Saccharomyces cerevisiae S288C: one gene and its partner. The protein of the gene in region 2 binds, or shares a complex with, the protein of the main gene of each other region. Each region holds a gene or a part of one and is shown on either strand. Other genes may lie near its edges.

Region 1 (3,045 bases), on a different chromosome or scaffold from region 2:
GCTGTGATGGGAGTATCGAATACAGTATATATGATGATTGAATCATCCTTCGAGTAGTTGTTTCTTTCAGAGAAGTAGATGTCGTAGATTTCATTAGCACTTAGCGTGATGAATACTTGATTGCGCAAATGAGATAAGCAGTTTGATTTATTATTTGATTGCAGGAAGTTGTCAAGGACAATTCTCAAAGTAGAGCAATCGTAATACGGATGTTGCGAAGCATTTTCTTGGTCTTGTGTGTTGAGATGTTTCCAGTCACCATAGGGCAAGTTGAAATGTTTTAGTTTCCTGAGTAGCTCGCCGTGGCGTTGGATTTGCAATAAATCAGGATGTGGTGTGGTGGTGGGTATCGTACTCGATTCAGATTCTTCCAGCTTTTGTATAAGTTTATTTCTTTCAATGTCGTTTGTTTTCCGTAGGAACTCAATTAACCAGCGGTCGTAATGGGGTCTCACGTCTGCATTGGTGAGGATATTAGTTGCGGTCGATAATAAGTGGAATTTGTGTATAATTGATGGATTGTCCGGGTGTTTGTCAGGATGATACTTCAGGGCAAGGGTCCTGTATTTGCGTTTAATTTGGGGCAAATCATCGTAGATGGTATGGACGTCCAGGGGGGTCGGTAATTCTAATACATCATATAGGTTCAAACGTTGATTTATTACGTCTTCCAATTCGTGTCCTGGCATAGTCGTGGCGAGGCTTGTAGTACGGCGATGGACTTGCTTTTTGATTTTGCTTTCATCTTCTAATGTCTTGCGAGATAATATGCAAGGAAAACAAAGGAAAGAAAATACAAAGTAATGCGGCTTGCATATATATATACATATATATATGTATATATGTGATATATATATGTGTGTGTGTGTATATATATTCATGAGTGTATAAAATAGATATATGAATGCGTGCGAATGTAGTTATAATTAGGTGTGTTCAGTTGGCCCATCTTTCTACCATTTCATTCATCCATTGCGGGCCTTGTAATTGAATGATCTTGGGCAGCTCGTCTAGCCCTTCCAGCAGGCCATCTTCATTAACGATCGCCGACTCCATGAACCCGTTCAACAGCTTTAAAATGAAGAGACAGTTTGGATACACAATGCATTGCGAATAAGGGGGGTTGCACCAGTACTCCAGGTATTTCAAGTAGTTTTTGAAGTTAGGAGACTTCCAGATCTGCTGTTGAGTGAGTAAGTACGTTACGTATTGGATGTTTGCCAGTGACTGGATAAATTCGAGCTCCACTTCGAACCTCGTGGGGAGAGGATTTTGATCCGAGGAAGGTGTCGCTGGTGCGTTTCCATTAGTGCTTGACATCCTGGGTGGAGCTTGGGGGAACTTTGCCGTCTTATGAGTGCTATAAGTTTTGGCTTACTTTGCCTCATTTTTCCTGCATTTCTTTTTCTTTTTCATCCTTTAAGAACACGTTAGCGGGAAAACCGTGAAATAAAATACAAAACGAACTGTTCGAAAAAAGCCAAAGGGGAAACGCCTAAAACTCCACTGAAACCAGCTATAAAGCACGGCATATTACAACAATGTCTAGCAAATGGTTTAATGCTATACACCTACTGGTGTGCCCGTTGACGGTACTGGTAGGATATCTCATGAACGCGTATGGCTACGGTGCGGCGCTGCAAGCAACCCTGAATAAGGATGGTCTGGTAAATGCTATGTTGGTAAAGAAAGGGTGGTTTTGGACTTCCTTGGTCGGATGGTGGTGTATTATACGCTACCGTGCGGTGCCGGGGGCAACCGGCAGAGACCGAAGACACATTGTCCAGTCATTCAAAAGGTATGCCATACTGACAGTGTGGTGGTACGTATTCACGCAAGGTATATGGTTTGGCGTAGGCCCCATCATGGACTTGGTATTCGTATATACGGGTGGCCATTGTCACTATGACGTCTTCGATGATGCAGGTCACGTGAACGAAGACTTCCAGGGTTCTGTCACCCGGACTAATCGCGCGTTGGCGCTCATTCACAATGTCCTCACTTTGCACGGACACCACCAAGAACACCGTCAGCAACAACTCTGGGACCGCTCCATAGGGTCGATCCAGGGCGCCCTGCAGGCGACGCAACCGAAAACCCCAAAAAACGTAACGGCCAGCGCTGCCGCTGCCATCAATACTTTTATTCATGACCAGATGCACAGGTGGCAAGGTCCGTTAACCACCTCGGCACAGTGCAGACGTTTTGGAGGCCATTGGGCTGGAGGACACGATCCATCCGGGCACGTGTTCTTGGCCACCTTGATGTGCATGTTTCTTCTAGGTGAGCTACGTGTGTTTGGGCGTCGTGCACTGGCTCACTTGTACGCGCAGAAATGGCAGCTTGTACGATTGGTGACCCGCCTTTTCGACACTGGACCGCTATGGACGTGGCGGCGGTGTGGCGGCGGCTCAATGACCTGTGGCGCCCGTTTGTGGCGTGCGATAGTCGAGCCGCCTGTCACGTGCGCGGCCGCCCTGCTCCGTTTGACGCGATGCATAGCATGCGACCACCCAGTAATCATACTGCTGACGCTATTGGTCACGTGGTTATGGCAGCTGCTGTTGACTGCGGTGGCGTCCCGTTTCCACACCGTACGTGAGCACATGTCTGGATTGCTAGCTGCGTACATAGTGACAGGCCTTGTCTACGCTCGCGACGCAGCCGCGCTACGTCCAGTATGACTCAGGAAAAGTTGGCGATAGACCACGAGCGACTGAAAAAATAACAGCGACTTTTCTCCCGGTAGCGGGCCGTCGTTTAGTCATTCTATCCCTCGGATTATAGACTGTGAATATTGCATATGCAACTTTGACTCAAATTTTTCCAAAATTTGATATATATATATATATATATATGTTTGTATGTATATATATATATACGTATATATATCATATATACGAAAAGTAGAAAAAAAAAGGTGATATTTCGCTCGTGGAAAAGCTAATGCCACAGCTTGTGTTTCGTGTAGTTTGCCTTGCTCCCCTTGATTGAAATAGTCTCCCTAAACTAAAGTTATCAGCAAACAGAACCACCACAGTTACT
Region 2 (7,326 bases):
AACATGAAAAGGGAAAGACAGCAGAAGAAGAAGAAATGAACTTAGGTATTCCACCAATTGAGTTAGAAAAGTGGGACAATGCTAAGGAAGATTGGGAAGATTTCTGCAAAGATTACAAAGAATGGAGAAATAAAAATGGTCTTGAAATAGAAGAGGAAAACCTTTCTAAAGCTTTTGAAAGATTCAAGCAGGAATTTTCTAACGCTGCAAGTGGATCAGGTGAACGTGTGAGAAAAATGAGTTTTAGTGGTTACTCACCAAAGCCTATTTCAAAAAAGGAAGAGTAGATGGCCAAAAACGACAGATGCGTGTGGAAGTCACAGTCTTGTTGTCTTATTTTCCAGTTCCTGTGGGAACTTACTTTCAAATGTTTTTCATACACTTTGACATATTGCAGTAAATTATATATGTAATTTTATATACGCTTTTACCTACACGAATTATTGTCTAACTTTTTTTTTTCTTCATTCCTAACGAGGAAGAGATTCAAGACACTGCAACTAGAAGTCGTCCGGATCAAACAGATCAAGATCAAGATCTAGGGCATCATCATTATTTTCTTCCTTTTCTTTATCTTTGGTATTGTCTGCCTCATCACCAACTTCTTTAGCAGTACCATCAAATATAAACGAGTCTGTCTTTGGTGTACCTTCTTTCTTGGCCATCTGCCCTTTTTGTTCTTCACTTTGAGATGGCGGTACGGTCGGTACTTCTGTTTCTTCTACTTCTTCACCGGGTATTCTAGTTAGCTCTTTACTATGTAATGAGGCCATAGCAAGCATTCCTCTTCGTAGGGCATCCTCTGCGGGCCATATAAAATTGTTGGGTCCCACAGCTCCCTTGTCGAACGTTGGTGGTATTTTGGTAAACTTGGAGAGTTTGGTGGCATAATCCAACAACTCTGTCGAATTGATTTTCGATCTTTGCTGTAAAATTGTGTTTTTCTCGAACTCTACTTGTTCAAGCATCGGTAGTGCTTTTAACTCGTCATGACATTCATTTAGAATTTCCAATATCTTCCTGGTTTTAGAATCTAGTTCTTCAGAGTCTTTGTCAATCTTCTGTAAGTTGCGGTAGATATTGTCATATTCAGCTAACAGTTTGACGTTTTCAAACAAGGCCTCATCAGTTCTGATCAAATCCTTGGCAATATCAAGGTTTGGTTTGAAACGATCTACAGATTCCACCAACTTACTCAATGTATCCTCGTACCGGCACAAATCTTCGTAGAGTTGGACCTTAGATAATTTGTCTTCACTATTCGTGTTTGAAGTAGCCTCTGCTACCAGGGATACAGAGGATGATCTGATGTGACCCATAGAAAACTCTACCGCTTTAGTATCTTGGACAGACATAACATTCGTTGTGTGTACTCTGGAAGTAATTGATACTAGATGCTTTCTCCACCGTTAACAATATACCAGAAAACCTTGTTGAAAACGGGACACGTTATAACTACTTTCCTTCGCGGTATGGTGAGCAGAGAATGCAAAAGTTTATCTTTTTCTCCAGCCTACCTTACGTAGGTGGTAATGCACTATTTTTTCGCATTTCTTTGAAAAGGCTGGCAATACGTCAAAGGCTATGTATGCTATAAGGGAAAGAAAGCTTATACGGAAAATAGCAACTGAATGTACTATGTTACTGTGCATTCGCATTCTATGTTAAAATTCAAAATCCATTGAGATGTATACACAAACATTTAAATAAGACATTTATATAAGCCGGCGCTTCCTGAAGTTCAGCACATGAAAAAATAGTGCTGCTCTTCTACCTTCAACCCAAATTGGTATTGAACCCAGAGCCTTTTTCAGGACTGGTTGCGATACCATCATGCTTCAGTTGCTTTTCAACTTCTTCCTTAAAGCCCTTTTTCCATAAATCATGATTTTCACCAATGACATAAGTAAGCGTCTTCTTCATATAACCTTCAGGACCTAAGAAACCCAACGCTTCTATAACATCTTCCAACAGTATTGTCATTCCGGAGCCTCTCTCCTCGCCTACTCCTGGATGCCTTATATTCACTATATGGACATGAAAATGGTAATATGAAGGTTGATAATGAATGAAAACTCTTAGCTCGTCCGGGTTTACATTATAGTCATAGTGCTGGGGGATGATGGTCTTAATCTTCTTATTGAGTCTAATTAACCAATCTCTATGGTTTGGGTTCAAATCTCTCAAAGATTTGATGTCGTCCCTGTACACGATCGCGACCAGGTATAACGAATCAATGTTGATTCCGTCCCACTTCATATCGGGCAAGATGACGAATCCATCCTCTTTATTCCTGCTACTGTATTCCTTATAAACAACTCTATCATCCTCGGCGCCCTCGTAAAGAATGTTGTTTACCCATTTCATTCTTTCGCTGGTACACATCTCTTGGATAAAGGGCACAACTATGTTTCTATACATATCAGGAGTTTCTCTGACGACATGTAAATCCTGCTGGTCGTATCCCTTGATGTGGAACTGCGAGGCGGGCCAAATTAAGTTAACCTTCGCAGTTGGGTTATGCAAAATATGCTGCTTCAAAACAGACAACCCCCAGTAGTAGATGTCATTCGAAGTTAATTCCTTCAGATCAGTAATACCGTTTAAAAAGGAGTACTCGTCTATTTCACGATGAAAGAAAATCGGAGTGCTACGGCCACTTTGAGAGGGTCTACGTACCGTTTCATCAAATATGAAATGCGTCTTTTCAGCAGTTAACACGGCATCCTTCCCATCTATGCTGCCTAGTAGTGAGATTACCTTTGTATGAGGGTTCGAATCTAACACCCTGACGTATTTAAACCTCCCAATTAAACTAGCTAAATCTTGGGAACCCATCATGTATTTTTTTACTTTTACACGCTCAAATCTTTTCAATTTTGCAATGAAAAGGTACCGACCTAACATATATTTGAAGACCAAACGAAACCCCCGTGCTTCTGTTTCTCTTCTTTCTGCCTTTATACTCATTGGTATTGTCACCCCTTATTTCCCCCCTAGGCGTCTGCGCGGCCGCTGTCATGGGGCTGTCCTTTCGGACTAGCATATAATCACTGACGCTAGCTCTAATCGATCAATAATTAAGTGGAAGTATTTTGTTGAGGTGGGTGATTATTATGGGGAAGATTTTTGACAATCGAATGAACACTTTAACAGCTTTTGGAGGCTAGAGTGCCAGTAAGCTCCATACTTCTTTGGAGTTGATTTCTTTTTCTTGCAGAATAGGTTGGACAAAGTACATCCATCAGAACAATTGCAGGTGCCTTTTGTTCACGCAATTACTGGCTTTTCCTTGTTTGTTTGGTCAAGAAGTTAGTGTTTAGCTTTTTCCCTTCATTTTTTTATTTTTCTTATTTTATAGATGCTTAAATGTCATTTTTGTCTTACTAATCATTAAATAGTTGGTCCGAAAGATAGGTCCAAGCGCAAGTCCAAGCCAATGGCTTGCTCTCGACTGTCTTCCATTACAATATGCAAGTTTTCTATCTAGCTGCTGTCGCAAGCATGTTTTTTTGTAAAAGAACTTCTCCTCTACTGCGTATCAAATAAATATTTATAATCTGGCTGACTCATTAGTTCCTCCCAGCCAAGGTTGTACGCCGTCCAAAATTCGTTGGATATTGTCTGTGCCAGTTCAGTCTCAATTGGCCCAGTTTCATTGTTATGCGAAGCGTTTTCGCTGTTATTTCGCACTTCCTCCGGGGGTAATCCTGGAGAATTTCCCGCCAATGGACTGGCGCTTGTGACGCCCAGGTCACTTAAACTGGGATCGATTGGAGTATTTACATTGTCAGTGAGCGAATAGGACCCATTCAATTCGTCTTGGAGTTGTTGTAACCATGTGTTTTCGACCTCGGTTCTATATTTGATTACTTTTTCCAAAACAGCTCTATATATGCTTTCCAGGGCGATGTTGATAACAAATGTATAAGAGCGAGCCATAATAATTCTTAACTGCTTGTTGTTATCATTAGACCATTTAGCAAATATATCTGAATGTATTTTGAAAGCAGTAAGTAAGTTCATAGCTTTATCCAACGGGATATTCAAGGTTGACAAATCCCAATCTGTGACTTCTTGATCTTTGATGTTGGATGATAGATAATAGCCCTTCTCAAAAAGAGTTAACTTATGATACAAAAACGCACAAAAGCCAGTAGAGGCCCTAGGAAAAAGGAAATTTGTGTATACTAAAGACAAGGCCATAAATGGCGGTAAATGAACGCAATTATGATCAAAAAACTCAGGAAAATGCTTCTCATCTAGGTTAAAACACAGTATGGTCGTATTGATGACAAGGGAAAAAGAGACCAAAATGGTTTGCAGGATGTTGTTCTCTAAAACAACGCTTTTTTCCTTGTAAATCAAATACCTCAAGGAATAAAACGTCAACAACAAATTCAAAACCTGCGCAAGCACTTTAATCTCGCACAAAGGAACTTTAGATATTAACTCACTGTCAGTGTAATATGATATTGGGTGGAATTCAGTCTCTACAAAGTTTCTTAGTTTTTTACAATTTTCGGCTAAGTCTGGAAATGCGCTTCTATCATAAATTTGATCTAGCATTGGTCGAGCTAATCTTAAAAACCTTTTAAGCTTGCCCATGCAGGAATTTGACTGATCGAAAAAAACCGTCGATGAATAATTGTTTGTATTTTTAGGCAACCTCTCACCATTCTCGCATTCATCGACTTGAAAATAGGATGAGTTAATCGCCAAACATCTCCCAATATTTAAAGAAACATTGAAATCTGATAATATAATCCAAACCCACAAATTTTCCAAACTTTCCATACTCCCCACAATATTTTCTTGATTTTTGTATATTTCTCTTATATTCAAGTGTAAACCCAGCATAATTGCCGTGCTGCATAATAAGTCAACTAGACTAATCATATGCGAATCGTCTCCACACGCCCAAATTAGTTCTCGATGATAGTATTTCAATAAGAGAAATTGAGCGCGTTCAATGAAATATACTTTAGCTGTTGACAGTCCCGTCAGCATGATGAGAAATTTCTCTATCTCTTCCGGAGTATTTTTGTAGAAATGGCGAATACACAGTATCATCAAAATAACTCCAATCTTATAATAGTTTTTCTTTGTCGATGGTAATAACTTTTCAATCCGCCTTTCACCGTTGGGTAACAGTTCGTCACTTGGAAGAAACGAGGAAGTGAAATCGTTTATTATTTTGGTTTTATCTAATACTTCACTAACTTCATTAGTTTCCAGTTCAGTATTGAAAAAGTCTGTTATAATCTTTGACGATTGTTCAAAAGATGGCAAAACGTTACAAACCTGTTGCAAGATGTCAGAGCCTGTCTTTTCTAACGGCGGTCCCTCTAGGAGTTGAGTTTCTGGCTTCATTGTCCATTTATGCCTAGCCTTCCATCTGTTTCTCTCGATTTTCACTTTGGACCAGAGCTGATTATACGTGTTTACAAACCGATTATCATCGTTTGAGAGATGCGTTCTCAAAGATGTAGGACCATATACTATTCTTCTTCCCGAGCCTTTACATTGTAAATAGTAAAAATTAGCGTAAGGGTTCCTAAATGGGCTCGTACTAAGCGCTACATCCTTCTCCGTCAACTCTTTGTCATCTAGTCTTTTCTCTAAATCCTCAATCCTTTTCAACAGTTCAATGTTCGGAGTACTGCCAAATAACTCTTTTGTTTCTATTTTGTGGGTGAATTTCTCTGTATACAGGCAACCAGAACGACCCCTCGTCTTACAAGTTGAGCACATTGGCTTCTGCTGGTCGCAACGTAATTTCCTTTTCCTACAAAAAGCGCATGACTTTATTGGTTTCCGTCTCTTCTGCGCCTTCTTTACAGTTTCCTCCGATGGGGAAGCTCTATCCTGTAAACTACCCCGCTTACTCATTAACAACTCCCTTTACCAGGACCATTCAATGTGCTTTCCCCTCTGACTTTCTATACTCTTGCCGTTATTATTACAATACCACCTGGCATTTGTCATTTTATCGCCTTGTAAACCATGGGTGTCACCCTACTGCCGAGCCTGAAAAAAACGTGCTGCAAGGGTCTTGAAGCAAAAAGATGATTTAACGGAAGAAAGGCATACAAGAAGGTGAAAATTCGTGTTTAACCCATCTGATACTTTCCCTTGTCTAACGTACTGATCCTGGAGGTTATCAAGAACACAAAAGTCTAGCAGCGAAAAGTACGCGAAGAATCTACTATAGATAATGGTGGTGCAGAAAAAACTTAGGGCTATCTTGACCGATGAAGGTGTATTGATCAAATCGCAATCACACCATATGTTCAATAAGCATGGTCAACTCAGAAGCGGAGATTCTTTATCCTTGTTGAGCTGCTTGTCCTGTCTGGATGATGGAACTTTGAGCTCTGATGGAGGTTCTTTTGATGAGGATGATTCCCTGGAACTGTTGCCTCTTAATACTACCATTCCGTTCAACAGAATTTTGAACGCAAAATATGTGAATGTCGGTCAGAAAGGCTTCAATAATGGCAAAATTTCTTCGAATCCTTTTCAAACGGAAAATCTGAGTTCTTCGTCTGAAAATGACGACGTTGAGAATCATAGTTTGAGCAATGATAAGGCTCCTGTAAGCGAATCACAGTCATTTCCCAAAAAAGACAAGTGGGATACAAAAACGAACACTGTGAAGGTGTCTCCCGATGATTCACAGGATAACTCACCATCTTTAGGGATAAAAGATAATCAACAGTTAATTGAGTTAACTTTTGCTGTACCCAAGGGCCATGATGTTATACCACAAAAATTAACCTTGTTAATAGATCACGTTTCTAGGAAATCGAGAGCAAATACCGGAGAGGAGAACATTTCTTCTGGTACTGTGGAAGAAATCCTGGAAAAAAGTTATGAAAATTCCAAGAGAAACAGATCGATATTAGTCATTATTAATCCCCACGGTGGTAAAGGTACTGCTAAAAATTTATTCCTGACAAAAGCAAGGCCAATACTAGTGGAAAGTGGCTGCAAAATAGAAATTGCATACACAAAATATGCCCGTCACGCCATCGATATTGCCAAAGATTTAGATATCAGCAAATACGATACCATTGCATGTGCCTCGGGTGATGGTATTCCATACGAAGTAATTAATGGGCTTTATAGAAGACCCGACAGAGTGGATGCGTTCAATAAACTAGCCGTAACTCAGCTACCTTGCGGTTCAGGAAATGCTATGAGCATTTCATGTCATTGGACAAATAACCCATCGTACGCCGCTCTGTGCCTTGTCAAATCCATTGAAACAAGAATAGACTTAATGTGTTGTTCCCAACCTTCTTATATGAACGAATGGCCAAG

Evidence for each region. The genes of interacting proteins can lie anywhere in the genome.
Region 1: MED4 (region 2) and SOH1 share a complex: the UniProt entries of both Saccharomyces cerevisiae proteins name them as parts of the mediator complex.

Annotation. Positions count from the first base shown.
Region 1 is NC_001139.9:269,456-272,500, forward strand, and holds SOH1 (mediator complex subunit SOH1), read right to left. Parts: upstream 1,321-3,045; coding exon 937-1,320; downstream 1-936. Other genes in the region: U2-type spliceosomal complex subunit CWC23, read right to left, coding at 1-689; SCS3 (Scs3p), read left to right, coding at 1,542-2,684. UniProt on the Saccharomyces cerevisiae protein: Component of the Mediator complex, a coactivator involved in the regulated transcription of nearly all RNA polymerase II-dependent genes.
Region 2 is NC_001147.6:652,776-660,101, reverse strand, and holds MED4 (Med4p), read right to left. Parts: upstream 1,356-7,326; coding exon 501-1,355; downstream 1-500. Other genes in the region: ALE1 (lysophospholipid acyltransferase), read left to right, coding at 1-287; DCS2 (5'-(N(7)-methyl 5'-triphosphoguanosine)-(mRNA) diphosphatase), read right to left, coding at 1,777-2,838; YRM1 (Yrm1p), read right to left, coding at 3,532-5,892; sphinganine kinase LCB4, read left to right, coding at 6,218-7,326. UniProt on the Saccharomyces cerevisiae protein: Component of the Mediator complex, a coactivator involved in the regulated transcription of nearly all RNA polymerase II-dependent genes.